4 linked regions of the Notamacropus eugenii genome follow. The protein of the gene in region 1 interacts with the protein of each later gene in a pairwise test. Links are inferred from orthologs where the notes say so. Each region holds a gene or a part of one and is shown in the gene's direction. Other genes may lie near its edges. The genes, in order: STK16, MIIP, ADAMTSL4 and RPIA.

Region 1 (7,006 bases):
TGCCTCCATGAAACATGTACCTGAGACAGGGAAGGGCAGGGGTGGAACATGGTGTGACTTGCCTAAGTTATCTGCATTTGGAAGCTCAGTTAACCATCCCTAACCCTCTTCCACAGCCCACTTACATGTTCACATTTGCCCCCAACTCCAGAATGTCCTGTAGTGCACTGGTCACAGATTTTACATCCTTTGTCGAATGACTGCCACCCCAGTAGTCCAGCCAGCCCGTATAGTACTCTGAGTTCACCTGGAGATTTAGATGAAGAGAAAAGATGAGGGAGAAAGGAAAAGGGAACCAATCGAAGCCCTCTCTCATGGGCATTGTCTTCTGGCTCCCCTTCCCCGCCCCCCTCACCAGGGGCCCATGGGGCTCATATTTCCGTTGCATGGCAAAGATCTCAGTCATGTTGTCGGCTGCAGTAGGAATGAAGGGGTACATGATGTCACAGGTCGGAGGGCATCTTCCCCAGACCCTACCCATACCCACTCCTGAGGTAACCTGGGCCAAAGTCCACAGTGGAATAGAGTCCCTGTAGGGTGCCACAGCTGAGCCCTTGAGGCCCATCTGTGGTAAATAGGAAGATCTCATCCCCCAGCAGTGCCCGGAATAACCCAGCCAGGTGTCTCATATATCTGTAGTCACAGGCATAATAGCTGCCATATTCATTTTCCACCTGTCAGAGAGATGGGACAGTAAGTTTACACTGAAAGACCTTTTTCCCTACCCTCCCAGACACCTTTGCCTCTGCACCTGGACACTGATGATGTTGCCTCCATTGTGGTAGAGCCAGGGCTGCACCATGGGCAGCAAGACATGGAACCAAGAGTCCACTGCAGCAAGGAAGTCTAGAAGGAAAGAAGTCTGCCTGAGCTCCACCATGACCTTTCTCCCCAGTCAGCCTTCAGCTCTCCTGGAACAGAGATGGTCACAGACCCAGAGCATGCTTCACCTTGGGCAAAGGTCTCTTCCAACTCTCCTACCAAGGAATGTGGGAATCACTAAAAACTCAGAACCAAGCAGGGACCCACCTTACAGCTCACTGAGACTCTGACACAGGAAGCCTGGAAGTTTAGCACCTTGGAGTGCTACAAGAAGGAGGTAAAGCCATGCCCTTGTTATCAGTACAGGCATAAGGCTCCAACTGAGGAAAACAGGAAGGAAATGGAAGAGTAAAAGAAGAGAGAAGAGCAGACAAAACCCAGAAACACAGAGAAGGTGGCAAGGGTGGCATGCCACCAACACTGATGCCATTCAACAGGAGGGAGTTCCTTTCTTCTTCCCTAAAGACCAACCAATGCATCCTGTACAGAGTCAGATAGGACAGACAAGATATTGAGCTGATGGCCTTTGGCACCAGAGCCATTCTGTGTAAGCATTATAAAACCTGCTCTACTTAGCATATATATGCTTAATGATTTGCATCTTGGAAGTCAGAGACTACGTTTTGTCTGTTACCAATGCTAGCATTGTGCCTTTAAATACTTGTTGGACTGGATTGAAATGGACAGAATACTACCTAAGGAGGTGCTTAAAGTGCCACCATAAAGGAATATTAATTCAAGGAGACAGTCACTAACCCAGAGATTCTGAGCTTCAAAGAGGAACTTTAAAAAAAGGAACTATTAATGCCACTAAAGTGTGAAGAGACAGATTTCTCTCCCCTATGAACAATAAGGAACTGTTTGAAGACTTAAAATCATAAAATCATAATACCATCTATATTATTTGAATGTAGTATCTTTGAGTTTCCTAGGAAATTTTCCTTTAGCTCTAAAGCATGGAATTTTATGGTTAGAAGAGAACTGAGTTATCTAATCTGTTCTCGTTCCCCCCCCTCCCCTCCCATGAATCATAAAACTCTTGATAATATCTGTAACAAGTGATTGCCCAAGCCTGGCCTTGAAGGCCTTGAAGTGATGGAGATTTTCCCCAAGATCCACTGACCCACTTCTGGATGACTCTAAGGACGAGGTCTGAGTATCAGCTCAGGGCAGTACTTTTCAACCCTTTTGTCCTCATTCTTCCTTTTGTCCCCTTTTCAATACATTCTGTAGTACTTGAATATGACCTTAGTCAAGGAAACTTCCTAAGGAATTCTCCATAGGAAGGAACCTTATTTCCTGCCCTGCTGAATGACTTGATAAGAGCAACTGACACAGGTTCTGAACCACCATGTAAGGTGGCAGGAAACGTGATGGGAAAGGCCTCCCTACATCGAGGTTCCCTGCCTCATGCTATCTGGAGCAGCTGGATCAAAGCCAATTTCCTTTAGGTAGCAACCCAACTACATGAGGCTAAATGCCAAAAAGGCTTTCTTACTGGTTGAAATGTGCAGGTTAGGACCTGCTAACCAGGCCCATTTCAAAGTATCTGGGATGTCCTAATGACTTAGCAAACTTTTGCCGTCTCCTTCTGATTTTGTAGTGCCTGACCAGCCAAACTTCTGGTCTTCTATATGTTTTAACTCTGACCTTTAGTACCCAAACTCACCTGGATCTGAGGTTCGAAGGACAATGTCAGGTTTTCGAAGCAGCCAGGATGGGAGACCACCCTGAGGAGGACATAGAGACAAATATAGAAATAGATACAAATGGAAGTAAACAGTAAAAGAAGAGCTGATGAGTGAGGGTGGAAAGGAATGGGCTGGGTTGGTCGGTGAGAAATGACATGAATGATCTTTGTCCCGCCCCTTCTCCCACTCACCATTTCCCACTCTGCACAAATGTAGGGTCCAGGCCTCAGAATCACCAACAAGTCCTCACTGGATGCTGCCTTCAGAAAAGCCAGCAGATCCCGATTGCCGTGGAAGTTGTAGACTCCAGGCTGTGGCTCGTGATAGTTCCAAGGCACATAACTGGGGAGAAAGGGGTTAAGGGGCCCCACAGTGGGAAGGGGCCCAGGGAGGTTCCAGGTAATAAGCCCTACCCCCAGGAGCCAGGGAGCCTCAGGGGGTGAGGACATTCTACCATTCTTTTTCTCCTGTCACTACCATTGGGACAAGACTCTTAAGCATTGCGAGCCCCAGATTCCCCTCTGTGGATGCCTGGATGGCCTTCACAAAGCTGCAATCCTAGGAGCCTTTCTGCCACCGCCTGTCGTCGTCCCCTACCCCACGGTCCGCAGCCATCTCCCGCATGCATGCTGCTCGCCTCTGTCCTGCCCAGGCCCCGAAGAGGGGGTCTCAAGGATCAGGGTTCGGGGAGCCCCTTACACCTGCACCGCGTTGAGGCCGCTCATGCGCATCTTGTGGAGCCGGTCGGACCAAAGCTGGCTGGGGACCCGGGAGTAATGCAGGCTGCCCGACACGTAGCGGAACGGGGCCCCGTCCAGCAGGAACACGCCCCGCTCCCGATCCACCACGAAGGATCGGGGCGCTGCCTGGGGGGGCAGGAGAGAGCTGGGGAGCACGGGGGGGTCGTGCGCCGGGCCGCTCCTCCCCCAGCTCCGCGGCCCGCGCGGGCTCACCTGGGTCAGCAGGTGGAGCAGGAAGAGGAGCCAGAGCTGCCGCCCGGGGCCCATGGCGCGGCCCTGGCTTCCGAGCTCCAGGAAGGCCTTCGGCCACCTCTCGCGGCCCCGCTCCTGGGCGGGAGCAAGAGCGGCTGGGGGGGCGGGCCCCGAGCGGGAGACCTCGAGCCCCGCCTGTAGCAAAACCCAAGCCCACGCAACCCGAAGGCCGAGTAGGCCGCCCGTACTGGAAGGGGGATGAATGGGTGCCTGGAGCAAGGGATGAAGGCGCCTCGGGGAGGGGGCCGAGGGAGGGCGGCGGGAGGAGCCCGGGCCCGACCCCCGGAAGGAGGAGAAGGCGCTCCAAGGGCCTGGAGCGGAGGGGGAGGCTGGAGCCCAGCCCTGCGGCCCCCGATCCCTACCTCCGGCATGGGGGGGGCTGCCAAGGGCGTGGTAGGCTAAGGCCTGAGGCACCAGCACCCGGAGCCGGGCCGCCCGAACCCGGGCTCTGGGGTTCCAGGGGCTCCGCGGTCCCGGGGCCGCGCGGTTGCCAGGATGCGGGGGGGGGGGGGGGGGGGGGCCGTTACCGCGGCGCCGAGAGATGACGACACGCCGCCGCTTCCGGTCGCTGTCGCCGCTCGCGCGCCTCGGCCAGGTTCGCAGCAGCTCGGGCTCCCGGGCGGCCATCCCTGGGGCTGAGGGCCGCGGGAACTCGTCCCCCGGGGTGGGGAGGGCCCAGAGACGGGGGCAGGGAGGGGCCCCATCCCCCTCCTCCCTCGATCGCTGGCTGCAGCCCCTGCTGGGCGGAGAGGCACCGGCCCTCCTCCCCGCCTCCCCCACCGATCGCGGGGCGCCCTGGGGCCCCCCGGGAGGCCGGGGGACGGAAGGACGGGAGCCTCCGGGGGCCTCGGGGCCCGGCCTCAGCCCCCTTGTCCCGTGATCCCTTCGCAGCCCCTCGGACCGTCCCTGCCCCTGTTGGTGGGCAGCGTCCGCCCCTGCCCTGAGGATGACTGAGGCACCATGGGCCACACGCTGTGTATCTGCTCCCGAGGGACCCTCACTATCGACAACAAGAGATACCTCTTCATACAGAAACTGGGAGAGGGGTAAGTGCGGCCTGCTCACCTTCCACCCCCAGGCCGGGCAGACAACGTAGGCTCCCATATCTGTCGGAGACCCCCGCCGTCTCCTCCGGCTCCGCATTTTCCAGAGGACTAAACCTAAGCCCAAGGAGATCAGGTGACTTGACCAGGGTTCCATAGATGGTGTCAGAGATGGAATTTGAACCACCTCTGGCTGTTCTAAGTTCATCAGTCCAGTCCTAGAATGTAGGATCCAGAACCCGTTGGGAAAGCCTTACCCGGTCTGGCCAGCACAGACTCCCCTTGCCTACTGGGAGGGCTTGGTCTTGCCTTCAGAACTTCTGGAGCCCCCACCTAGGGAGGTCTCTGCTCTGGGGGGAAATATACCCTAGGGAACCTCTCCCCACATGGGTATTGTATAATGTGTCCATGGACCTTTGATTCTAAGTGGGTTCAGCTACGTGGACCTGGTGGAGGGACTGCACGATGGGCACTTTTATGCCCTGAAGAGAATCCTGTGCCATGAGCAACAGGACCAGGAAGAGGCCCAGAGAGAAGCTGACATGCACCGACTCTTCCAGCACCCCAATATCCTTCGCCTTGAAGCCTATTGCTTGACAGAACGGGGCTCCAAGCAGGAGGCCTGGCTGCTGCTACCCTTCTTCAAGGTGAGACTGGCTCCTAGTTGGGGACTGGGTAACATGGTTCTCTGGGGACTCTGAAAGTTTTAAGGAAGGACACTATGAGAAAGGAAACATGTGAATTGATGGAATCAGGATTTGTGTTTTGGGGCTTTGCCCATAGGCACTTATGGTTACTGAGTGAATGTGTTTGGCGTTTTGGGTTTTCATATTGAAGACCCTCATCACCTTTGGCAGAAGTCAGAACCCGAGCCTGGTAAATGGGGAGCCCCTTCAAATGAGAAGGAACACGTAGCCAGTCACGGTGGGAATTGGAAGAGACTTGTGTTTTGCAGAAGGGTACACTATGGAATGAAGTGGAAAGGCTGAAAGACAAAGGCAACTTCCTGTCAGAGGATCAGATCCTGCTGCTGCTGTCAGGCATTTGCAGAGGCCTAGAGGCCATTCATGCCAAGGGTTATGCCCACAGGTCAGTGGGAAGGTATCATATGCCTGCTGGGGAAAGGTGTGAGAGGAGGGATAAAATGAATATTTATCACGAGATAGGCCAAAGACCTTTTTTTTTCTGCTTTCTTAGCCAGAAGCCTGCCTGTGCTTCTTGAGTACATATGATTCCAGTAACACTCAACAGGGGGCCATCAGTCCTACTTCCTTTCTTACAGGGACCTGAAACCAACCAATATTTTGCTTGGAGATGATGGGCAGCCAGTGTTAATGGACTTGGGTTCAGTGAATCAGGCACGAATTCGAGTGGAAGGCTCTAGACAGGCACTAGCCCTGCAGGTGAATTCTGTTTATCGATGGAGATGGGGTGGGGTGGAACTAGCGCTGCAAGTCAGGCTACACTCCTCAGGATCTAACATGTTCCTTTTGAACATGGTGGTAGTATGACCCTTAACCCACTCCTACCTCCTGGGATCATTTTTTCCAGGACTGGGCAGCCCAACGTTGTACCATCTCATATCGTGCCCCTGAGCTCTTCTCTGTACAGAGCCATTGTGTCATTGATGAACGAACTGACATTTGGGTGAGCCTACAGGGAATTAGAGGCTTCTATCTACTTTGGAATGACTCAAGGGAAAAATGGGGAACATTTGCCTTACTTTCTACAGTTTGGGGCCCCAGGAAACCTGTCATGCTGGTCTTTTCCTCCACTTCCTTTCTATAAACTGGTGGCAGTGCACAGGAAGTGGTATAGCCAGGGTCTCTGAGCAGGAGTATGTAGGCCTGGAGGTGTTCAGCCAAAGCGCCATCTGTCCTCCACAGCCAGGGAAGATTCTAAACCCAAAGGGCAGCAGAGCTGAATTAGATCCCTGCTGCCATGGTGAGATGACTTGCAGCCCTTCTCACTTTGGCTTAAGCAGTTTCCTTTGCCCACATCAAGGGGCAGGAGGACAGAGCACTTGGCAGTGTCTGGCCCAGTACCTAGTAGATGATTCATAAATGGTTGCTGAGCAGTAGTTCCCTGGGTCCTATTTCCTAAGAAATCATAGATGTGTGCTTAGTCCCTAGGTTGTGTGCTGTATGCTATGATGTTTGGGGAAGGTCCCTATGATATGGTGTTCCAGAAAGGGGATAGTGTGGCCTTGGCAGTACAGAACCAGCTGAGCATTCCCCAGAACCCGAGGTGAGTACATGGAGGTGCAGAAGCTGTGGACTTTCTATGACATGGAAGACCTTATGCCTTAGGGGGTGGAGACAGAGAGAGAGAGAGAGAGAGAGAGAGAGAGAGAGAGAGAGTGTGTGTGTGTGTGTGTGTGTGTGTGTGTGTGTGTGCGCGTGTGTGTGTGTATGTGTTGTGTGTGTAGCTTGCCACATCTGTACTCCTCAGGCATTCC
Region 2 (6,894 bases), on another chromosome or scaffold:
ACCTTGTCACCTGCCCCACCTTCCCAGATAAACTCCAGTGTCTCCCTCTCCCCTCCAGGATCACCTCTGTTTGCCACTGAAAGCCTATTGCAGACCCCTTCCTACATTTCCAGTGTTCTTACACCTTACTCCCCTATACATGTGCTTTGATCCAGTGAAATGACCTCTCCTGTCAAGTCCTTCTCTTATCTCTGTGCATTTTTCTCTGTGTATTCCTATGCCTCCAGTACTCTCTGTCTACTGGCTTCCTTGACTTCTTTCAAGTCCCAATGAAAATTCCATCTTCTAAAGAAAGCCTTTCCCAGCCCCTCTCGGTTTTAATGCCCTTCCCTCTTGTAATTATTTCCTATTTATCTTGTTTGTCTATATTTGTCGGCTTGTTGTTTCCCCCATTAGACTGTGACACCCTTGAGGGCATAGAGACTTTTTGCCTTTTTTTGTGTCTGCAGCGCTTAGCACATTGCCTGGCACAGAGTAAGCAGTTAATAAATTTTTGTTCACTGACTGGCCTTCCGAAAGCAGAAAATCTGTGGCTAAAGTCACATTCAAATACTTTCCAGCTCAGTAGAACTTGCCAGGGCTTGAGCCCATGCTGGCTTGGTCTTTAAGAACTCAGGATCACCTCCACGCCAAGATGGCACATTAGAAAGTTCTTTGTGGAGAATTGATTATAACAAATAAAAGAAACAATTTTTATTACATAAAATATATTAAAGCAATTGCACAACTGTATCAGTGCATATCCCTAAAATAGGATTCCTTCACTTGGTGTCCATGAACTTTTTTTTAATCTTGATAACTATTTTTCAATATTGGTGTCCTTTATAGTCCTATGTATTTTATTTTATGCATTTAAATCCATTCTGAGGAGCCTAAAGGCTTCACCATGTTGGTACAGGGGTCCATAGGACAAAATGATTAAGGACTCTTGGACGAGATAAGAAGAGGTGTTAGGAATTGGTGGAGGGAAAATCAGCATTAAGCATCTCTGATAAAAGTCTGGTATTTATGACATATAGGGATTGACTCAAACTTCTAAGACTACAGAGGAAACTAGAATATACTAGATAAGTAGTTGAAGGGTATAAACAGTTCCAAAGAAGTAAAACTTCAACAAGTGCTCCAAGTCACTGCTAACTGATAGAGAATAAGAACACCTGAGGTATCCAATGGACCAGAATGGTAAGAGTTGTGAATTGTCCAGTTGTTCTGGAAACCAATCCGGAATTATGTCAGAAAAGTGACTTTTGTGACCCACCTATCCCCTCCCCCTCAAAGGAGGTCAAAGACAAAAAGGTCCCACGCGTACCGAAACATTCATCATAGTAGTTTTGGTAGTAACAAAAAAATCAGAAATCAAGGTGCCGTGAGACACAGCAAAAAGTTGTTTCCACAGAAGTTACTAGCTGATGAAGTCATTGAAAATAAGTCAGATAATAAGAAGACCAACAGACTCAACCAATCAAAAGACAGACAGTGGTCTTCAGAAAATTACAAAGTTCTTGATAAAGTAACCAAATCTACAGCTACGTGGAACTAGCCAAGAAAATGACCTAGAGTTACTTGGAAAAGGCTTTTCTTCACTGCGCTTGCTTAATGAACCTCATGCATATAAGCAGACATACCCCCCATAAAATTATCCCTCCATTTTCTGATCATAGGTCCTATGTTGAAGCATGTTTGGGACGGGGGATCACACACCAAGGCTGGTTACATAGCAGGCATGTAGAGAAGATGGGGACCTAATGTAGAATGGACCAATCCATCTCCTGGTGAGAGGATCTATCTTGAACTAACAGTATATAACTCATCTTGCTTCAGCATTCAGTGCTCCCTTCTTCCAAAAAGAGGTTAAGGGTCCCCTTTGGCCAAAGTACTCAATTCCTCTGAATTCTGCTGTAATAAATTTTCCTTGATACTTCATTAGTGTCAAGAGTGTCTCGAACAGCACTTCTTGGGGAGCAAACAAATTAAAGTTCATGTAGGTTGGGAAGATTAGGATGCCATATTGGAATGACAAATGCAGGATTAAGAAAAATGTGGGAAGATTTGCACGCACTGATGAAGATGAAGAGTAAAACCAGGAGAACAGTATACACAACTAAGAATAAGAGCACTTTACAAATATTATCTCATTTGATCTTGACAACAAAAATTTTATTCCCTTTTTTCCAGATGAGAAAACGGAGACTGAGGTTAAGCGATTTCGCTCTAGGTCAAATAGCTAATAAAATATATGAGGCTGGATTTGAATTCAGGTCTCCCTAATGAGACCCAGGGCTCTCTATCCCAGGTACCACCTAGCTGTCTGGCTATAATAATATGAATGAAAATAACAATAAATTAAATTAAACTAAAATAAATTAAAACCATAGAACTCAGATCAGATGCAATGAGATGCAATTAATATGCTATACTGTTCAGTACCATGTAATCGCTAAACTTGTACAAATTTGCACTGTGCTGTGAATTCTATCAACATAGGACCTTCCTTCTTTCTAAGATCTGGTATGTGGAATTCATGCTGGATTCAGGCATATGCACCTTCTCTGAAATTTTCCTTTTTCTAAGTGTAGAATTCTAGGCTTGAGGTAACTCAATTTTGTTTTGAAGTCAATTCAAGGGAGTTGCTAAGTCATGCGCCAGCATTCCATCATAGTGGAATGAAAGCCTGCTTTCCAAAGGCAGGAACTGTTTGTATCCTGAGAACCAGAACCCAGGGTCACATATAAAGCAAGTGCTTAACAAGAAAATGTTTATTGAATGTAATTGAGTATGTCTTATTTACAGGGACCTTCTAGATGTTACCCAGCCAATACACAGACATGATTTCACTGAATCCCTGAAATATCCCTGTGAGGTCTGCAGGTACTATTGCTGAGACTCAGAGTTGTTTTTTTCTTTTGTTTTGTCTAGGGGCACTGGTTAAAGACCAGACTTGAACCCAGGCAGATCTCCCTCTATCTATTCACTAACCACTGTTTCGTCTCTGATGGCTGATTTTGGAATACACTCCCTTTACCTGAGAAGTAGGGGTGCTGAATGATGAGCCCCCTTCATCAGTTGTGGTGAGCAGTCACCAAATGGCTTAACTTGCATCCTCATCCTAGCTAACATGTACGCAGCACCTACTATGTGCCAGGCGCATATTCCACAAATATTATCTTCTTTGGTCATCAAAATAACCTTGGGAGGTGGAGGCTATTATTATCACCCCTGTTCTACAGCTGAAGAAACTGCGGCAGAGCGTAAGTGACTTGCCCAAGGTCACACTGCTAGTGAGCGGCTGAGGCCCGGGGCTCCCCCACCGCCCCACCTCGCTGCCCGGGCACACACGTGGGTATGCAGCGGGGTGCACAGACACACGCCTGTATACGGCGGAGGACGGCAGGGTGGCGCCCCACGCATGTAGCCGTCGGCGTGGGGCCCGGCCCGGCTCAGACGTTTAAACGTCGCGGGGCTCCGGGCGCTCTGCCCCTCCCCTCCGTGCCCGCGCAGACCACGGGCAGGGCGGGAGGAGGAGGGCGCTGCCCGGGCAGCGCTGCATAAAGGCTTTGTGATGACGGGCCCAGCACCGCCCCCGCGTTGTCAGGGGTTTCCAGGCCAGCCCTAGACTGGGAAGGGACTCGGAGCCGAGGAGGGGCTCGTCACGTGACATCGACTGTGACGTCACCCGCCCCGGGATCAGTTAACTGAGGCCTACCGTGTGCCGGAAGGAGCCCTTTGCAGCCAGCGTAGAGCACGTGGCCTCTGGTCTCCAGGCGCCTCCAGGCTAGCGGGGGACACTTGGTACGGGGCTGCCGGGCGTGGAAGGAGCTGGGGGCGGGGAGGGGTGTGGGGGGGGGTCGGGGCCGGCTTCGCTGCTTGTTACGTGCTTCCCGCCCCCCTCTCCCCCGGGCCTCAGTTTCTCCAAGTGGGGGAGTCGGGTTTGGCTGGCCTTCCTGGAGGGCAACCCCAGCCTTCCCCCGTGCCCGGGAGGTGGGGGTGGGCCCGGCCGCCCTCGCCGCTTCCGCCTCCGGACGTCCCGGGGCGTTTCCGCGGGTGTGTGTTGTTGTTCCCCGCCCCGCCGCTGTGCCGGAAGCCCCGCCCCCTCCCTCCCGGTCTCGCGCCCGGCCAATGGGACGCCGAGGTCGCGCGCCCCGCCCCTGGGCCCCGCCCCGCGGCGTCCTTCTCAGGAGCTGGCGGCTGCCCCCGTTTGTCCGCGGAAAGAGGGGCCCGGGGTCCGCGGGTCGGAGGGGGGGCGGGGGATGGCCTTGTCCAGGGCCAGGAAGGGCCGGCGGGATGGGAGCCGGTATGTGGATGACTTCCGGGGCTGCCCCATTCCCCCGCGGGTCGGTGAGTGGCGCGCACCCCCAGGCCACGTGCGCCCCCGCCCCCCGGGGTTGGGGGTTCCCCGCCGGCCCCTCCCTCCCCTCGGCTTCCACGTGACTCCTGCCCACGTTCTGGCGCTGCGGTTGGCCTGGGGGGCCTCATTTCACTGACGAGGAAACTGAGGCTTGCTTAAAAAAAAACACCGCCCATCCAGGGCCTTGCAGGGGCGGCCCTGGAGCCTGAGCTGGACTGTGGGGGGAGAGGGGGCGAAGGGAGGCCCCCAACCTCCCACCCACGAGGCAGCCTAGTAGTCGAGGCCTCGCAGGGCCACTCCGCTCCAGCCTTGGTCCGCGTGGGCCGGGGGAGGGGGAGGGTAGAGGACCCCTGAAAGGGCTGGGGGGATCCCCGGTCTGTAGACACCACCTAATGAGGAAACCGAGGCCCGGAGAGCTGAAGTAGTGCCTTAGCCTAGAAGGTCACGCAGGGAATAATTGGCAGAATCCACGAGTGGGGCTGGGGGGGCTTTGAAATGATCCTCCTCTCTGGGCTGGGGTCTGAGGGCTGGAGATGGGAGGTAGAGGGCTGGAAATAGAGAAGTAACAATGTATCTCCCTTTCCCCAGAGCGTCCTGCCGGGTTACCTGCATTCTATCGGTGTTGTGGGAATAATTAGCTTATAATTCTTACAGTGCGGTGAGGAGAAAGCATAATTTGGAGTCAGAGGACCCAGGTTAAAATCCTGGCTCTTCCGCCTATAACCTGTGCCCTTATTTATATCCACCATTTAAACATCTCTGTACCTGAGTTTCCAAATTTGTAAAATGAAGGGTTTGGCTGTCTCGGATTCTAAAGCCTGCAGTTTGCATAATGAAAGGGACTTGCTTGATAATAATTCCCAACTTAGGGACCATGGTCACCTGCTGCCTTGGTTGTATGGAGGTGACCTGAGTGGATGGAAAGGGTGCTGACCAGGGTTCTTTGGTGGGTTAGTGGTAGTGTCCCCTCTGAACCTTCATTCCATTTTTCTATCTTCCTGGGTTAGACAATACCCCAGTCCCCTGGCTTCTTTTGCAGAAATTCCAGACAGCACATTCAAGATGCCAGAGTCTGAGAACTTGACCCAGCTTCGGAAAATGAACCTAGAGCTCCTCCGGCAGCTTCGGGTGGGACAAGAGGAGATCCGGAAATCTGTGGCCTGGGCCAAGGGGTCAGTCCAGCAGTTCCCAAAGCTCAAGAATGATGAGGTAGGTGCTTACTCCTGGGACTTGTCCCAGTGTTTGACCTGTAACAGGCTCCTTAACTGTTTTTTGGGCTGGAGTCCTGGAGAAGAAAGAAGGGGAGAGAAATGGGGGGGTGCATGGAGACTGGAGCAGAATTCCCTCCTCTGCTAGGGGAGCAGCCCCTTGTCACTAGAGTCCTGGTGCTGTCGAGATGAAGAGACTACGGTGTTGACTGAACACCGCAGCCAGTCGGGCCCCTGCCCAGTGCCTGGCACTGCCTCTGGGGACAGAGATGCCTTGGAGCAAGAACAAAAGAGCAGGAGCCAGGAGCCAGCCCCCCAGAGCAGCCTGTGTAACATTGAGACTGTGCAGAGTGTGAGTCCCCCCAAGGCCCCTCCATCCAGCCAGCCCTGGGGTCAGGAACTCAAGGACTGCCGCAGACCTGGTTCCAGACCCACTTCAGCAAGCTTGCTGTCTTCTCCCAAGGCCTTGGACTTGGGGCCCACCATTGATCCCCTGATCTCTGGTGTCCAGAGGCCGTTCTATGAAGCAGAAGGCGTGGGAAGCCTAAGGTCCATCCTGACTACTCAGCAGTGGAACAACTTCGAGGTAAGAGAAATGGGAGGTGGACCAAGGTGGGACAGCAGCCACCATCCAGTAATGGGCCCTGAGAGAGAAGGAGGCCGGTTCTGTTCCTCCCTGCAGGCTCTTCTCCTGTCCCAGAATGCCCTTTCTCCTCTCTCCCGAGCTGCTTGAGCCTCCCCTGTCCTCACAGCACATGCACTTGTGGGCCCTTGGCCTGCTCATCCTGGCTTTGGAAGCCTGCAGGAAGTGGGTGAGGCCATCCTGATGCACTCTGGCATCCTCCAGCAGCTGTCACAATTAGCTTGGGCTCCTCTGGCATCCAAGACCTCCCCACCCTGCCTTTTGTCTGTCCAGGGGAAGGTATGGACTACGCAGTCCCGTGGCCTGTTCATCCTTGGGGTGATAATCCAGAGGGGCATCTCCCTGTGGACATTTGCTGAGTGCTCATTCTGTGCCAGGCATTGGGGGTCCTATACGTCTGGATCATCCATGGTCCCTGCCCTCTGGGTGCTTGTAGTCTGGCAGAGGAACGCAGGGAAAGTGTGCCATAAGGCAGGAGTTGTGACAGGTGGCCCTGTCCTCTCAGGCCTCTCAGGTACCTCCCTGGTTGGGTTCTCGATCCACTAGCCTGCAGCCACACTGGCCGCCTGCGTCTTCAATTCTGTGTGGGGAACAGTTGCCCTACTGGCTGCAGAAGAAGAATTTTCTGATTCCTGATGAGAGCTGGCATATGAAACCTTATTTAGGTTATGATGTGATTGCCGGTGAGTCGGGATATA
Region 3 (7,510 bases), on another chromosome or scaffold:
TTTACTAAGGCCTGCCATGTGCAAATAAGTCTCTATGTCAATCAAAGCTCCAGTTGATATCTCTCTAGGCAGAGAGCACTGTGCTGAGGTCAGGAAAGGAAGGAAGGAAACAAGCATTTATTAAGAATGTATGTGCTAGGGACTGAGTTAAACACTGTACAATAGCATCTCATTTAATCTTTACAACAACCCTGGGAGTTATTGTCCCAGTTTTCCAACTGAGGAAACTGAGGCAGGCAAAGGTTAAGTGATTTATCCAGGGTCAAATTTGTATCTGAGGTCAAATTTGAACTCAGGTCTTCCCGACTCTAGACTCAGAATTTTATTTACTGAACCACCTAGCTCCCTACTGGGGAAGCTGAGACTGGTAGATTGTTTGAGCTCTGGAGTTCTGAACTGCAAATGGGCTCAAGTTGATTGGGTGTCTGCACTATTGGTAGGCCCCTGGTAACAGAATGCCACCATGCTTCCTTAAAGAGGGTGAAGCAATATAGGCTGGAAGCAGAGCAGATCAAGCCTTCCATCCCCATCAGCAGAGCCCTCCCTCACTTAAATCCAATTCACTTGCAAGTCAGGATATCACCTTCCTGATTTCATGGTCCTCTTCTAGAACAAAGGACAAACAATGAAATAGGACCAGGGGTAGGGAGACCTGGAATCTCTCCCCAAAAAATTAGGTAAAATTTTAATGGATAATCAATGGAAGGAGACATTTCACGTGAACGAAAAGGTGTTGCGCTGGACCTGAGACAGTAAATTTTAAAAGTAGTTCAATTTGGCAGGGCTGTAACACACAATGAATACTAGAACAGTGGCATCCTGCTAGAGATACAAAATATCCAATCAGTCAAACATTTAAATATAATAATATATTCTGATGTGGCTTTACAGGTTTCAAAGCATTTCTGCAAAGCATCTCAACAGAGATGTTGGGTTTTATGGAATTTATCTGGGATTATGGAATCACAGATTTAGAAGCAGAAGGGAGCTGAGAGGCCGGAGAGTTCGACCCCTTTATTTTACAGAAGAAAACTGATGAGCACGGCGTGGGGCGATAGTGGGAGTGGGGAGAGACAAAGTACAGAAGAGGCATCCGAGAGGAATGGAGCGGGGCAGGGGAAGGGAATGAGAAGGAAGGAGAGAAAGGGGGGAGAACAGGAGGAGGGAAGAAGAAAGGAAGGGGAGAAGAGGGGAGGGAAGAGAAGTAGGAGGGAGCGCGCAAAAGGAAGGAAAGGGCAGTTTCAGGTGCTAGTGGGAGTGGAGAGATACTAAATATAGAGGAGGAAGAGGAGTGGGGAGGAGGAGAGGAGAGGGTCCCCAGCCCTCACAGCGCTCACAGTTTTGACCACCCAACTCAGCATCCCTCCACAAGCCTCCTCCCCATCTTCCCCACGCACACGCGGATGGGAGAGACACCAGGGCCCCAGGCTCCAGTCCAGGTGCGGCAGCTGTCCACTCCCCCCGCGTTTCCCGACGGGGCCTCCCCCAGCCTGGCCAGCCGCCCTCCTGGAGTCTTTGCCTGGATAGCCCCAAGCAGCAGAAGAAGGGAGGGATGGGCAGCCGGTGCTGCACCTAAGGGGAGGCGGGGACCTGAGGCCCGTCCCGTCTATCCTTAAAAAGGAAGTTGGGGCGGGTCCCACCATTCCAGACATTGGCGAGGCGCCTCAGAGCATCGCCCTTTTCAGAGCCGTCCGAGGGTCCTGACCACCTGGCCGGACTGCCCCGCCCACGCTCTGTCCAGTCCAGAGGACCCCAGGTTGGCGGTGAGGGTCGGAGTCCCTGCCCAGGCACCCGGGGCGTCCCAGCTGGGGCCGGCTGGCTGGAGCAGCCGAGCAGGGATCTGGTGGGACGGGAGCCCACGCGGGAGGGACGGACGGACAGACGGAGGGAGGAGCGAGGGAGGAGCCTCGGACGGGGGCGGAGCCCGAGCTGGAGGCGCCAGTGACCGGGAGCCCGGCTCAGGGGCCGGGCCGGAGCGGCCGGAGAGGAGTGGAACGGAGCTCGGACGGGGAGCCGGAGAGCGGAGGGGCCACGAGCCGCGCGCAGGTAGGACCCCCGCTGCCCGGCCCGCTCCCCCGGAATCCCGTTAGATCGCTTTCCTGGAGCGCCCCGCCCCCGAGTATCCTCGCTCCTAACCGAACTCTGTTGGGGACCCCCCCAAACTTTCTCCGGCAAAGGGAGCCCACCTCTCCCCATCCATGATCAGATTCAGCGTCCCCACCCCAATACATGCACAGCGCCCCTTCTCTCCATCTTCACTCCAGTCAGGACAGTTCTGTTTCCCCCAACGCTGGCTTCCCAGGTCCGACTTGGAATTCTGTCTCTGAGGAACTGACGGGGGGTGGGGGGGAAAGGAATGCAGGTGGCTGGCAATCCTTTTTTTTTTTGCCTCAGACCCCTAAGGGTGGGAGATAGGGGTGGCATCCTGGATAACAGTTCAGACTCCAACATAAAGGGAAAAGGGAGCAAAAGGGGAAGGGTATTCAAGAAAATTGGACATTAAAGTGCACCCCACCCCCCATCAACACATTTTCCATCCCAACATCTCCAAAAAACCCTAGGAGGAAGTACAAGGGTGAAAGGGCTATTCCTCTTCTAGTTTCTGGTTTGCTCTTTGATCTCCACTAGACTGGGGAGGGGGTGTGGCCATAAACAGGTCAGTTCGGGATGGTCAGATAGCAGTGCCCATTCTGTAATCAGGGAAACTTCTAATGACCTCTGCTAACCCCCAGGTTGGGCAGAAAGGTACCAAGTGATTAGAGAGGCCAGAACTGAGGGGAGTACAGACTGCCTCTATATCTGTCTCTGTCTCTCCCTGCAAGGGGGGAGAAGGTATCGGCCCCCTGCCCAGCTGTGTTGGGGAGGGTGGGGCCGGGGACTTTTCCAGAGAGGGAGCCAGGCCTGGCCCAAGCCCCAGGAGCTCACGTCACCCCCACCCCTCTGGCCCCCACTTCTCTTGGGAACAGCCAGAGCCAAATCGAGCTAGGAATGGGATTATGTGTACTAAGTAGAGACCTGGGGAGCCATAGGCATAGACCTGGGGTGGCAGGGATATAGATCTGGGGGAGAGATAGAGAAATGGCCAGCAGACCATTCCTCCTCCAACTGGAAGTTAGTTTGGTTATCATCTCTTTTCTGCTTCAAGGTAAGGGCTTTTATCTCTTCCCTAAGTGAGCAAAGGGTTAGGAGCAGACAAGTAGACATTTATGTGAAAGTATGAAACCCTCTCTCATCCACCCTGCCTGGAACCCCACCATGGCCCCCTGCCCCATAGGCGTTGTTGCTGACCTCAGCAGGGCCAACCCAAACCCTGGGGAAGGGAGGAAGGGGCTGCCAGGCCCAGGCAGAGATGACCCCAGCCAGTTCTGATCTGACCAGTCATTTCCCTCCCCCACATTTTCAAGTCAATGGGTAATTGCAGGGAGGAACAGTAAAGATGAGCACAGATCCTTTTTATGCACCTCCATCCAAAATCTGTCTCTTTCATTCTTTCCCTAACCCCATGGTTGGCCCAGTTCTGTTTTGGTCCCTTGGACTCCTCTCCCGGGTGCTTCTTAGCTCCAACAGAAACAACTTTTTTTTTCCTGGAAAGCAGAACAGAGAACAGGGGAGGGGGCCCAGGGCTCAGAGTCTAGGCAAAGGAGGGAGGTAGGGAGCAAGAAAGAGGAGTAGCAAATCCACAGCTTCACCAGGGCTTGGAGTTGAAAGCTCTTGTTGGTCTACATAGGATCAGAACTAGATTTTAAGTAGGACTTCCTTACTTTCCAAAAAAGGGGGAGCCAAAGGCTCTTTGCTGCTTAGGATTTCTCATTGCAACACCTAGCACATTATCTTAGTTGGGCAAATTGATGAGTGACTGAGCTAAGACAGGGGCTTCTTCTGGATTGCTTGGGCCAGTGGTTCACATCCAGCTACAGAATTGTGCTACTGCTATTTAAACCATCAGCCAGTTTACTTGATTTACAGTTTGAACTGGAGGCAAGAAAAAGACAAGAGATTTCTAATCTTTGGACCTGTAGTCCAAAGGAAAAGCTGAACCAAAGGATATGAAAGTAGGAGACCTCCTGAGAAGAGAGAACCCAGTGGTATGTACCCTCTCTTGGTACCTGCTGAGGTGGGTATGTAGAATGTGCCCTGGAAGCAAGAGGACTCCTGACGGATGGAGCTTGGTACTTGAGCCGGGATAGAAATACCAGAAACCAGAGATTAGGAAAGGGAGATTAATTAGGGTATTGAGGGATTTGGTAGGGGGCAGTGAGGAGAAGGTAAAAGGGATGACTGGGAAAACCAGAGCATTGGGACCCTCAGCTTTCCAAGGGAAAGAAAGAAGACAGCAATCCTGGTCTCTCAAAATAGGGACAGAGAAGAGGAGGAGGTATTAGGTAGTGTTATGTCCTAACTTCTGTCCTTAACCTTGAACATTTTTATTGAGGGGACATAACCCCTTCAGGTGTCTAGAGAAGAGTCAGGGTAACCTTTATTCCTGCCTTTCTTTCAGGTCTTTCTTCACATCCTAAGCCCTCTAGATTTCTGAGTAGTGTGTTATCTCCAGAGGACTGGGGAGATTAGGGAGAACGATGGAGAAATGGGGAAGCAGGTAAGAGGTGAAAATGGGAAGGGGTAGTGGGATCTATCCCTGGGAGGTACAGGAGAAGAAAGCAGAAAGATGGCAAGGGTGGAAGAATGGGTAAGTAACCCCTTCTATTTTCTGACAAGCTGTGAGACCAGATGTAGGGGGCCAGGCTTTGTACCAGCTGTTCCAGAAATCTTAGTGCCATTTTAAGCTTTCATAAAGCTAAAGTTGCAATAGATATGAAAGCTTACAACTGTACTAAGACTTCTGGGACAGCCTGTATAAGAACGATTGTGACCTCAATTCTAGCTATTAACTTTGATTACTGACTGCCTCTGGCTCCTCAGACTAAGACCGCCTCTTATGCTGCTCCTGCTCCTTCCTCAACTCAGCCTAGACCAGAAGGTCAGTGAAGAGGTTGGAAGGTTTTGCCTGCTCACCAACCTTCTAGAACCCTGTCTCCCCAAGAATTTCCTAGAGCCCTTTGCTCACCCCATGTCTCCCTCCTCATCTAATTCCCCAGGCCCTTCCCTATTTGATGCCCCAGTCATTCCCCCCATTCCCATGCAGGTTACTCCAATCCCTCCTTGATTTGTCTCTTTTTCTCCCAAATAGATATCCCCTCGCCACTCACGACAAGCACATCCTGAAGAAAGTAAAATCCCTGAGGGTGTCTGGGGTTCATGGGGTCCATGGTCCCCTTGCTCCCAGCCCTGTGGGCTTGGGATACAACGCCGGAGTCGAATCTGCCAGTCACCTACATCTTTACTCCAAACCGGGTTGCCTCTACCACCCAGGCCACCTCGACATCCGGAACCCTTGACTGCTCGATCCCGGAACGCCAGACCCCAAACCCCTAGGGAGACCCTCCCTCTCTACAAGCCGGAGCCAAGGGGGAGAAGTGGCCCTCTAGAACAAGAGGAGGCTAGAGAGACCTCAGCCTTAAGGAGGTAAGGGAAATGAGGTGGGAATTGAAGGTGATATATCTCAGCAGGTAGATAAGATTGTGAATGGAATAGGTGAGCCTTAGAACAAGAGGAAACTAGAAACTGGGATAGGAAATGAAGTTGATTACAGGAGTGAGGAACAGAAGAGATTCAAAATGTTAGTTATATGGGAGAAGTAAGCAGAACCATAACTCTGTAACTATAACAATTTCCTAGGTCACGTGTTCGAGATCCTATCAAGCCAGGAATGTTTGGCTATGGGAGAGTTCCCTTTGCTCTTCCCCTACATCGGAACCGGAGGCACCCACATGGACAGCCCAAAACGGAATTCCCCAGTGATGAGGCTCCTCAGACTCTATTTCCAGAGGCAGAACTCCTCCAAGACTCTAAAACAGAGGATTTCCGAGCTCTGACTGTCAAAACAGAACCGCCTGTTAATACTCAGCTCCCCCAAACCCAGATCTCTTCTACAGTACTGCCCCCCCAGGAAGACCTTTACAGTCCCCAGAATCTTGGGACAGAAACACCTCCTAATACCAAGTTTCTAGAGTCGCAGATACCCCCAAAGACAACCAACTTCAAAGCAAAGTCCACCCCCACCCCATCCCCCAGAACAGGCAATTCCCTTAATCAGGTCCACCCACAGAGATCACATCATTCCCAGCAAATGGGACCAGAATGGAGAAGATCCCCCCATCCCTCCTCCTCTGCCCCCCGGGGCCAGGGCCGAGGCCAAGGTCATCAGAGAAGGAGAGAGCAGTGGGCACCCAGAAATGCCCATCAACAGGCTGTTGAAACTCCCCCTCACCATTCAGAGAGTTGGCTGCCTTTACTCAGCTCTGGCTCCAACTCAGGTCCCCTCTGGAGCCTTTTTGCCCCCAGTGCCTCTGCCCTGAACTGTCCTGGAGAGAAGGAGCAACTGAGAGCCTGTATCCAGAAGGTGAGCTCTGCCTTGATCCTGGATCATCTAGGCTTCTAGATGTTCCTAATTTGCATAGAAACCAAAGCTGTGCTCCAATAATTTGGGGGAAACTGTTCTGGAAAAGAGTGAGGGATCTAAATTGGGATCTAAGGTCCCAATTTATCTTATCTAGTCCTGAGGATAGATAACCCTCATGTCTGAGCCCTAGCTCCCTCCTTTGTAGGCCTCCATTTTCTCCCTGGGTTATCATCTCCTAGATCTTTGTCGGGAGGCCAAAGGGCATACTCTCCTAGTTTCTGATTCCTTCTTTCCCCTCTGCAAATCACTCCATCCCAATCCTCAACTGCTACCCTCCTATTGTTTTTTTTCTTAGCCCTGACAATTCTGTTTCCCCCAACTTCAGCCTTGCCCCCCTGAACAGCCAGATCCACGGGCCCTGCAGTGTGCCGCCTTTGATCCTCAGGAATTTATGGGCCGACTCTACCAGTGGGAGCCCTTCACAGAGGGTGAGAACTGAAACCCAGGACCCCAAGACTAGGGAGGCTACACGTTGGCCCCTTTCTAGCCCTGAAAATCTTCCATTTGTGCATTATTTTCCTAACTGTATCTCCTGCCTCAGTTATCCCCTCTTTTCTTTAGTTTCTCTCTTTGAGGCATTATATGCCCATGTGGGAGAGTCCCCTTCCCTACAGGACAGGGAAAGGGGATATATTTTCCCTGAATTCCTTAATTTCCGCCTTTCCCTCCCCATCAGGCAGTCTGTGCTGTTTACTTAGCCTGAGTGGCTGGGCGAGCGAGGGGGCAGGAGGGGAGGTGGGGTATATATAGATGGCTCTTTGTGCTTCAGAGGTCTCTGCCAGTACCTAGGAGGGAAAGAGGGAGGGGATGTGTGTGTGCGTGTGTGTGCCTTGTGTGTTTTAGGGGAAACTAGGTCTGTATGATGCCTGATCTTCTCAAAAAAGCAAAGCAACTAGAAAACGATGGAATCATGCTGAGGGAAACTAGCCCCCTACAACTGAATGGTTTTCACTGTCCCCTCTGGCGAGGTCAGCTGTATCCAGAGGTGGA
Region 4 (7,456 bases), on another chromosome or scaffold:
TTTAATCCCCATGATACTTGGTGGCCAATCCCCTTGGACACAATCTCCTAGAACAGGTGCCTTATTAAGCACTTACTTTGTGCCAAGCATTGTGCTAAGGACTTTACAAATATCATCTCAATGGGTCTTCACCAAAATGCTGTGAGGTAGGAGCTACTATTATCACCCCTCAACCCCCCAATTTTATAGCTGAGGTAACTGAGGCAGAGTTAAGTGACTTGCCCAGGGTCACATGGCTAGGAAGCATCTGAGACCAAATTTGAACTCAAGCTTTCCTGACTCCATGTCCAGTGTTCTGTCCACTTCGCCATCTAGACTCCATTATACAGTTCTACGATTGTGGGGACCAATACAAGTTGCTGCATTGTCTCAGCAAAGTGAAGGCCTTGCATTTCACTCAGCAAGAAGTCAAGGAGCAGGTTCATCCCTGCAGGGCCTGAGCATATACCCAGTTCCATGGAATCACCCATTTTATTTATCTTCTAGTATCCACAGTCAGCATCAAATTGGACAATATATCTTGGTACCATGGTCAGTCTTCATCTTATACACCCACAGACAGGTGGTTAGATCTGATTCCCCAAGAGCTGGAGATCCTTTTCTCCTCTTTCCCCCTGTCCCCTGTCATGGCCAGGAATTAAGCTCCAGTTAGTCCTTCCCTATCTGAGTACCAAGCAGTGAGATAAATGATTATTTCTCCCTCATATAACCAATTATTGATTTAGGACCAGGATTTTTTCAGAACTCTGTAGGTTGTTAAATCTCTGAAGGTCACTGCTGATAATGATACTGAATTAACTTTCTCCTCTTGGTTCTTCGGACCCCACCCAACCTTACAAAGAATTTAATCAAGCCCATTTACTCTACACAGTTTTGGGTGGGGATAAATTCTTTGATTAAATTCCCTAGGCTGGGCAATTGAGAAGTAAATGATGTAATCAATTACATCCCCCACCCCAGCCCCTCATTAGGTCTACCTCTCATTGTAATATTAATTTTCTCCATTAATTGTCAATCAATCAGAGTTGATTGACACCCTCAAGAATACCCACTCTTCCAAGGGCATGTAAACTGTGAGCCCACCACCATGATTCATCTTCAGTCTGAGATAGACAGTCAAGCGACCAATCCTTTTATTAACAAAATGCTAGCATTATTAATAAAATGACTAATTACCCAGGAACCATGTCTCGAACTTTTTAAACATCACAGTAGCATGAGGGCTCATGATGGGGCAGAGAAGATATTGGGGGACAAAGGAGCTTAGGAATTAGAGACAATTGTGTCCAACGCTTTGTTCTATAAAGGAGTAAACCAAGGCCCATAGAACTTAAATGACTTTATCAATTAAAAAAAAACCCCAAAAAACAGGAGGTAGCAGAACTAAGATTTGAACCCTAGGCCTCTAAACTTCAGGGCAGCTAGATGGTGCAGTGAATACAGTGCCAGACCTGAAATCAGGAAGATCTGAATTCCAATCTGGTTTCAGAGACTTTGCTAGCAGTATGACCCTGGGCAAGTCACTTAACCCTATTTGCCTCAGTTCCCTCATCTGGAAAATTAGTTGGAGAAAGAAATGGCAAACCACTTCAGTATCTTTATTAAGAAAACCCAAAATGGAGTCAAAGAGAGTCAGACACGACTGAAATGACTGAACAACAACAAAAGTTCTCCACCCCATCTCAACTACACAGTTAAACTCTTGATCTGATCATCTCCTGTAAGTGTTTAATTTCCAAGTTCATGATCTCTTGAATTCCCTCATCTGATCATAATTTAACATCATTCTACTTCTCCTTCTGCCTTGTAACCCTTAACAGTATTCCTCATAACAATCTCCAATCCCTTTACTTCTCATTTTTTTCTCAAGCCATCACCCCTTCATTAGCTACATTCTCCTCCTTTTCTTATCTTGACCCCTTTGGGATCCAATTAATGTCTACACTGTCTTCTTGTCCCACTTTTCTATCAAAGATCTTGCCCTGCCAGCCTTCAACCATGGATTTGTTGTTGCTGCTGAGTCATTTCAGTTGTGTCCGGCTCTCCAAGACCCCACTTGGGGTTTTCTTGGCAAAGATATTGGAGTGGTTTGCCATTTCCTTCTCCAGTTGATTTTACAGACATGGAAATTGAGGCAAACAGGGTTAAGTGACTTGTCCACACAAGTAGTGGGTTTGAGGCTGGATTTGAACTCAGGTCTTCCTGATTCTAGATTTGGCACTCCATCCAGTTTGACAAACAGCCATGGGTTATTCATTCCCAGAATTCAATATCCATTGGCTTGGCACAAACTGCTGAACAGAGCTGAAGAAATAAAAGTGATTTTTTAAAAAAAGATATAGAATAAACCTTTTAAAATGTGTTTTAGATTTTTGTCAGGAATATAAGTCAAGTTGCCCGGACCATATAGTTTGCAGATTTCATCTTTGACCCCTTTTTGAAAACTCCTCATGATTTAGAAGTTGTATATTGATTTAACTATTCTAGAGAGCAATTTGGAACTATGCCCAAAGGGCTATAAAACTGTGCCTACCCTTTGATCCAGCAACACAACTACTAGGTCTGTAATCCTAAAGAGATGATAAAAAAGGGCAAAGGGTTTGCATGTACAAAAATATTGATAGCAGCTCTTTTTGTGGTGTCCAGGAAAGAACTGGAAATCAACTGCAGAAAGCCTGAACAAGCTGTGGTATACGAATAGAATGGAATACTATTGATCCATAAGAAACGATGAGCAGGCAGATTTCAGAAAAACCTAGAAAGACTCGAATGAACTGATGCTGAGTGAAGTGAGTAGAACATAGAAAACATTATACACAGTAATGTGTGATGACCGAGTTTGACAGACTTAGTTCTTCCAAGACAGTTCTAAAAGACTCATGAAGAAAAAAGCTATCCACATATCCACATCCAGAGAAAGAACTGTGGAGTCTGGATACCGATCAAAACATACTATTTTTAATTTTTTGTTGTTTTTTTCCCCCTTTTTGTTCTGTTTTTCTCTTCACATGACTAATGTAGAAATATGTTTAACACGATTGCACACATATGACCTATATCAGATTACTTGGAGAAGCAATGGAAAGGAGGGAAAAAAATTTGGAACTCAAAATCTAATAAAAAATGAATGTGGAAAAAAATAAAAGAAAAAAGAAAGCTCCTTCTCCAGGCCATTAGCATTCCAATCCCTTTCCACCAGTTTGGGCAGTTATCACATGTACCAGATCTCAGCACTCTAGAATGTGGCAGCTGTGTGACTGCTGACGTCATGGAGTTACATACTGCCTGACCTGCAGGTCCCTTGGGTTCCCCCCTCCCTGTTAATTTAATAGTAATAAGGCAGCTAGCTTTAAAGTTTGTGAAGCACTTTATGAATATTATTTCACTTAATCTTTGGGAAGATTTATTGCGCTTTTACCATGCTTCCCACGCCTCTCTTGACAGATGAAGGGACTGAGGACCATGGGTCATCCTTTCAAAAAGGGGTGGGAGATGGAAGTCCCTGTGGGAGGGGGTTATCTATATAAAAGGTGTAACGTTTAATCCGATGAGAAGGTGCCTGTAGCTCCTTCCCTCCCTCAATCGCCTCCACTGCCCCATCCCCAGGCTGATGAATTCCACGACCTTCCCGCAGGCCCCAGCCCCCCACCATCACCCACGTGCGCTCTTCTCCACGTGGAAGGCGAAGTCGCGAGGTCTTAGCGCTCTGGTGTCTGTGGCCTGGGCCCCATGCCTGGGGCCTGGCACTTAACAAAGGCTCTTCCCTCCGCTCATTTATTCGGTGCTCTGTTGGCGATTATTATTTAATTTCTTCAAAAGTAACCTCGGGGGGTTGCCCGCTTGGATAACCAAAGCACTTCCAAGGTCTGCGAAGCCACGTACCAATGTGATCTCGTTTAATCCTGGCAACAACCCCGAGAGGGAGGCGCTATCCCCCCATCTTCACACTCGGAGCTAAGCCTTTACGACTGTCTCAGGGTGAGCGTCGAGGGCTGGGGTCCAGGCCAGCGCTCTTTCCACCGAGGGCACGCACGCCAAAGGAGGCTTGTCCTTGGGGGCCCCCCATTTCATAGGGGGGCACTGGCGGCTGGATCAAAGACCTTGGTTCAAATGCACCTGCCGCCCCCCTCGGCGTGGTGACCTCGGACGAGTCATTTAGCTGCACCTGTACAACCGGCGCGTGCTTGTGCGCACCGCCTCTGGTTCCAAGGCCGCCTCGGGGCTCAAGCACGTGAGCAGGTGTTCTCAGACCAGGATAGGATAAGCCGGGGCGTGCCCCGGACAGCCGTGAGGCCGTAGGCGCGCTGCCTTCTGGGGCTGGTAGTCCGAGCTCCCGGACAGTTGCGGGGGTCTGCCCCTCTCCCGAACTACATTTCCCAGCGGCGCCGGCTCGCGCGGCGCCCTCCCTCCTGAGCGGGCCCGATTTCCGGGGCGGTCCGGGGCGGGGCGAGCCGAGGCAGGCGCGGCTGGGCCGGCGGAGGCAGGGATGCAGCGCCCGGGGCCCTTCAGCACGCTCTACGGGCGGGTCCTGGCCCCACTGCCCGGGCGGGCCGGGGCCGGGGGCGGGGCCTCGTCCGGGGGCGGGGGGAGCTGGCGCGCGGGAGAGCCGCACGTGCCGCCGCCCCAGCGCCAGCCCTCGGGCGGGGGCAGCGGACACTTAGTGGCCTCGGCCGCGGCCCCGGCGCGCGCTCCGCTCGCTCCCGCTCCCGCGCTCGCTCCCGCGCCCCCGCTCCTTCCCTCACTCGCCGCCCGGACCATGTCCAAGACCGAGGAAGCCAAGCGTCAGGCCGGCCGCGCGGCCGTGGAAAACCACGTGAAGGTGAGTGCCCCCCGCCCCGGGTCAGCCTCCTCCGGGAAGCCCTCCAGGTTCCACCCGGGGCCGCGCCGTGGAGAGCGCCGCTGGGAGACGAGTTCGAATCCCGCCCCTGGCGCGCCCAGGCTCCGGGAACCCCGCTCCCAGTCTCAGTTTCCCAATCTGTAAAAGGCGAGCGGGGAGGGTCTCTTGTGCCCGGCAGCCTCCGGTCCTAGAATGGAAGCCCCTCGAGGGCAGGCGCCCCAGCGTGCCCGCCACTGGTGGGATGGAGGGGGCCAGAGGCGGCCCCCCGGAAAGTTGGATTTGGAGGGGAGCAGGGCGGGGCGGGCGGGGAAGCCCCCCCAGTGACTCGGGGGACCCACGAGGCGGGGGCGGAGCGGGCCATGTGGCGGGCCCCGGCCTGGGCGGCTTCCTCATCCGCACACTGGACCCCGGGGGTTTGGGGGTCCGGGAGCGTGTTGGGAGGTGAGGCGGGGCAGATCCCCCCAGCTCCAGGTGCCGCTCGGTCCTGTTCCTCGGCCTGGTTCCGGCCCGGGTCCGAGGGAACCTGTAGCCTGCTTACAGACTTGGGCGGGGTGAGGCAAGGAGGCCGCGGGGGGCGGGGGGCGGGGGGCAGGGGGCGGGCCGACCTTGGCCCGCAGTGGGCCGGGGTCTGCCGAAGTCCTGGTTTTTCTTCCCCCGCCTCAGCCCCGAAAATGCCTGTTTATAAAGATGTGAGCCGGCTCCCGAGAACTGTTTGGGGAAAAAAGTTGGGCGGAGCCCATTTCCTTGAGTTAATTTACAACCGATCAAGTTAATTATGTCCATTATCCCTCCTGGAAGGAGAATATCCCTGCCCCGTGGGAGTTCCCGGGCTTGGTCCTGCCCGGTGCCCTGGCACCCTGGCAGGCACCCCATTTCTGCGCCTCCGCCTTCGGAAGGTGGTGAATGTGCGGGCAGGACCTCGCGCCTCGCCGGGTCGGGGGTCCTTGCGTGGCCAGTGCTGTCCTGGAGTACCCGGGGGGTGCTGGGGTGTATTCAGAGCAGAAGAGGACCCAGACTCGGAGCCCCCTCCCCTTTTAGTCTATCCTGCATCTTAAAGCAGATTCCTGTGGGGTGAAGTTCTGATCGTGTGCGCGCCCGCGTTGGCAGAGTCGGTAGCGAGGTCTAGCTCTTTTGGGGCGACAGAAACCTCCCCTCCCCAGCAGGCTCCTGGACCCCTGTCCGGCCTTCTGCCCATCACTGCCACCGGGCTCCAGGGGGACTTACTGGGAGGGGACGTTGGGCTTGGCCGTTCTGACTGGCTCCCACCCTGCTTCCTTTTATGAGATGTTCAAGCTGTTCAGTCCCACTTCCCTTTGAAATTCCTGTATGTGTTCATCGGGTACTTAACTACCACCAGTGGGCAAGGGCACTCTACTAGGGGCTCCCTCAAATCAAAAAGGATCTCTTGGAGATCTTTGTGGGAAAGTTTAAAATCATTTGTTGATCAGTTGTTTAAAATCGCGTCCAACTCTCTGTGACCCCTTCTGAGGTTTTCTTGGCAAAGATACCCGAGTGGTTTGCCATTTCCTTCTCCAGCTCGTTTTCCAGATGAGGAAACTGAGACAAACAGCAAGTAAGTGACTTGCTCAGGGTCTCACAGCTAGGAAGTGCCTGAGGCCAGATTTGAACTCACAAAGATGAGGCTTCCTGCTCCATACCTAGCGTTCTATGTACTGTCCCACCTAGCTGCCCCTTACAGTTAGACCCACCATTATTATCTGTATATGCATTTATCATGGGGGAGGAGGAGGAAGTAGTTGAACATAAATTTAGTTGAAAGCCTTGAGATCATCTCTAATCCTCCCCCCACCTCTACCATTTATAGATGAGGAAACTGAGACCCTCAGCACACACAAGTTGTAACAAGGTATTCTCCAGGCTTTTTTCTACACTTTAGTGATACAGGTTGAAATTCATTCGTTCCGCCTAACCTTTGCGCCCTGTTATCTGTGTTGGGAGCCCACTCCCACTCCAAGTGCCAAAGTACTTACTCAAGATCTTATTTAGATGGTTCTGAGCCGTTCAGGGGCTCCATGCAGTGATTACAATGTCATCTTTGGAAGAGGAGCCCCTGGACATCTTCCTTATTGTTCTCCTCACTATCTTCATTGAGTTCTTCTGCTTGGACCCTGCCCCTGATAGCCTTTGCCCTTGGTAAACATTTAATGTATTTCATTCATTCATTTGACTTTATATGAATTTCAGTGGAGCGTGTGGGCCGTTCATGGGTTATCCCTTAGGTTCACTACATGACCAGCCCCATCCTGACCTTTCAGGTCTTGGAGAACAACTTTGGCTTCTTCTCTTGGACAGTTCTATGGCCCATTGTTCCGTGAGTGCTCCTCAGCTTGTGTTCTTAGGAGAATGTAGATTTCCATGGCTTATTGTAAAATACAGCATCACCAGAAGACTGTTTCTGTGGAAAAAAGATAGGTCTTTGTTTCAGGGAGAAACTTGGGGTCATTGAGAGAACAGCAGCAGTCCATCCCTTTCTCCTCCTGTTGAGCTCTGGGCTTAACCCATTGCCCACTCACAAGGCCCATACCAGATTGGTATTGGTAGCAGGGCTGACCGTCCAAGAGCTGCATATCACTGCCCGATTAAAGGGCATTTTCCATT

Evidence for each region.
Region 2: the proteins of STK16 (region 1) and MIIP interact in binary tests that used the Homo sapiens proteins (3 or more experiments, as listed by UniProt). The two-hybrid records come from large-scale screens. The link is inferred for Notamacropus eugenii from reciprocal best matches to the Homo sapiens genes STK16 and MIIP.
Region 3: the proteins of STK16 (region 1) and ADAMTSL4 interact in binary tests that used the Homo sapiens proteins (3 or more experiments, as listed by UniProt). The two-hybrid records come from large-scale screens. The link is inferred for Notamacropus eugenii from reciprocal best matches to the Homo sapiens genes STK16 and ADAMTSL4.
Region 4: the proteins of STK16 (region 1) and RPIA interact in binary tests that used the Homo sapiens proteins (3 or more experiments, as listed by UniProt). The two-hybrid records come from large-scale screens. The link is inferred for Notamacropus eugenii from reciprocal best matches to the Homo sapiens genes STK16 and RPIA.

What each region holds. Positions count from the first base shown.
Region 1 is NC_092877.1:317,731,664-317,738,669, forward strand, and holds the start of STK16 (serine/threonine-protein kinase 16), read left to right. Parts: upstream 1-4,002; 5' UTR 4,003-4,032; coding exon of another isoform or gene 4,033-4,209; exon of another isoform or gene 4,210-4,298; intron 4,299-4,302; exon of another isoform or gene 4,303-4,396; 5' UTR 4,397-4,465; coding exon 4,466-4,551; intron 4,552-4,975; coding exon 4,976-5,195; intron 5,196-5,503; coding exon 5,504-5,637; intron 5,638-5,830; coding exon 5,831-5,951; intron 5,952-6,099; coding exon 6,100-6,195; intron 6,196-6,673; coding exon 6,674-6,795; intron 6,796-6,999; coding exon 7,000-7,006. Other genes in the region: GLB1L (beta-galactosidase-1-like protein), read right to left, coding at 1-20, 126-414, 500-674, 752-846, 2,492-2,552, 2,705-2,855, 3,213-3,379, 3,467-3,580 and 1 more. UniProt on the Homo sapiens protein: Membrane-associated protein kinase that phosphorylates on serine and threonine residues. In vitro substrates include DRG1, ENO1 and EIF4EBP1. Also autophosphorylates. May be involved in secretory vesicle trafficking or intracellular signaling.
Region 2 is NC_092876.1:51,471,984-51,478,877, forward strand, and holds the start of MIIP (migration and invasion-inhibitory protein), read left to right. Parts: upstream 1-3,888; 5' UTR 3,889-4,116; coding exon 4,117-4,291; coding exon of another isoform or gene 4,292-4,335; intron 4,336-4,424; exon of another isoform or gene 4,425-4,657; intron 4,658-4,823; exon of another isoform or gene 4,824-5,040; intron 5,041-5,384; coding exon 5,385-5,554; intron 5,555-5,701; coding exon 5,702-6,139; intron 6,140-6,701; coding exon 6,702-6,879; intron 6,880-6,894.
Region 3 is NC_092873.1:304,419,513-304,427,022, forward strand, and holds the start of ADAMTSL4 (ADAMTS-like protein 4), read left to right. Parts: upstream 1-4,498; 5' UTR 4,499-4,577; coding exon 4,578-4,597; intron 4,598-4,920; coding exon 4,921-4,978; intron 4,979-5,188; coding exon 5,189-5,523; intron 5,524-5,736; coding exon 5,737-6,460; intron 6,461-6,845; coding exon 6,846-6,948; intron 6,949-7,510. UniProt on the Homo sapiens protein: Positive regulation of apoptosis. May facilitate FBN1 microfibril biogenesis.
Region 4 is NC_092872.1:724,333,874-724,341,329, reverse strand, and holds the start of RPIA (ribose-5-phosphate isomerase), read left to right. Parts: upstream 1-4,450; 5' UTR 4,451-4,486; coding exon 4,487-4,819; intron 4,820-7,456. UniProt on the Homo sapiens protein: Catalyzes the reversible conversion of ribose-5-phosphate to ribulose 5-phosphate and participates in the first step of the non-oxidative branch of the pentose phosphate pathway.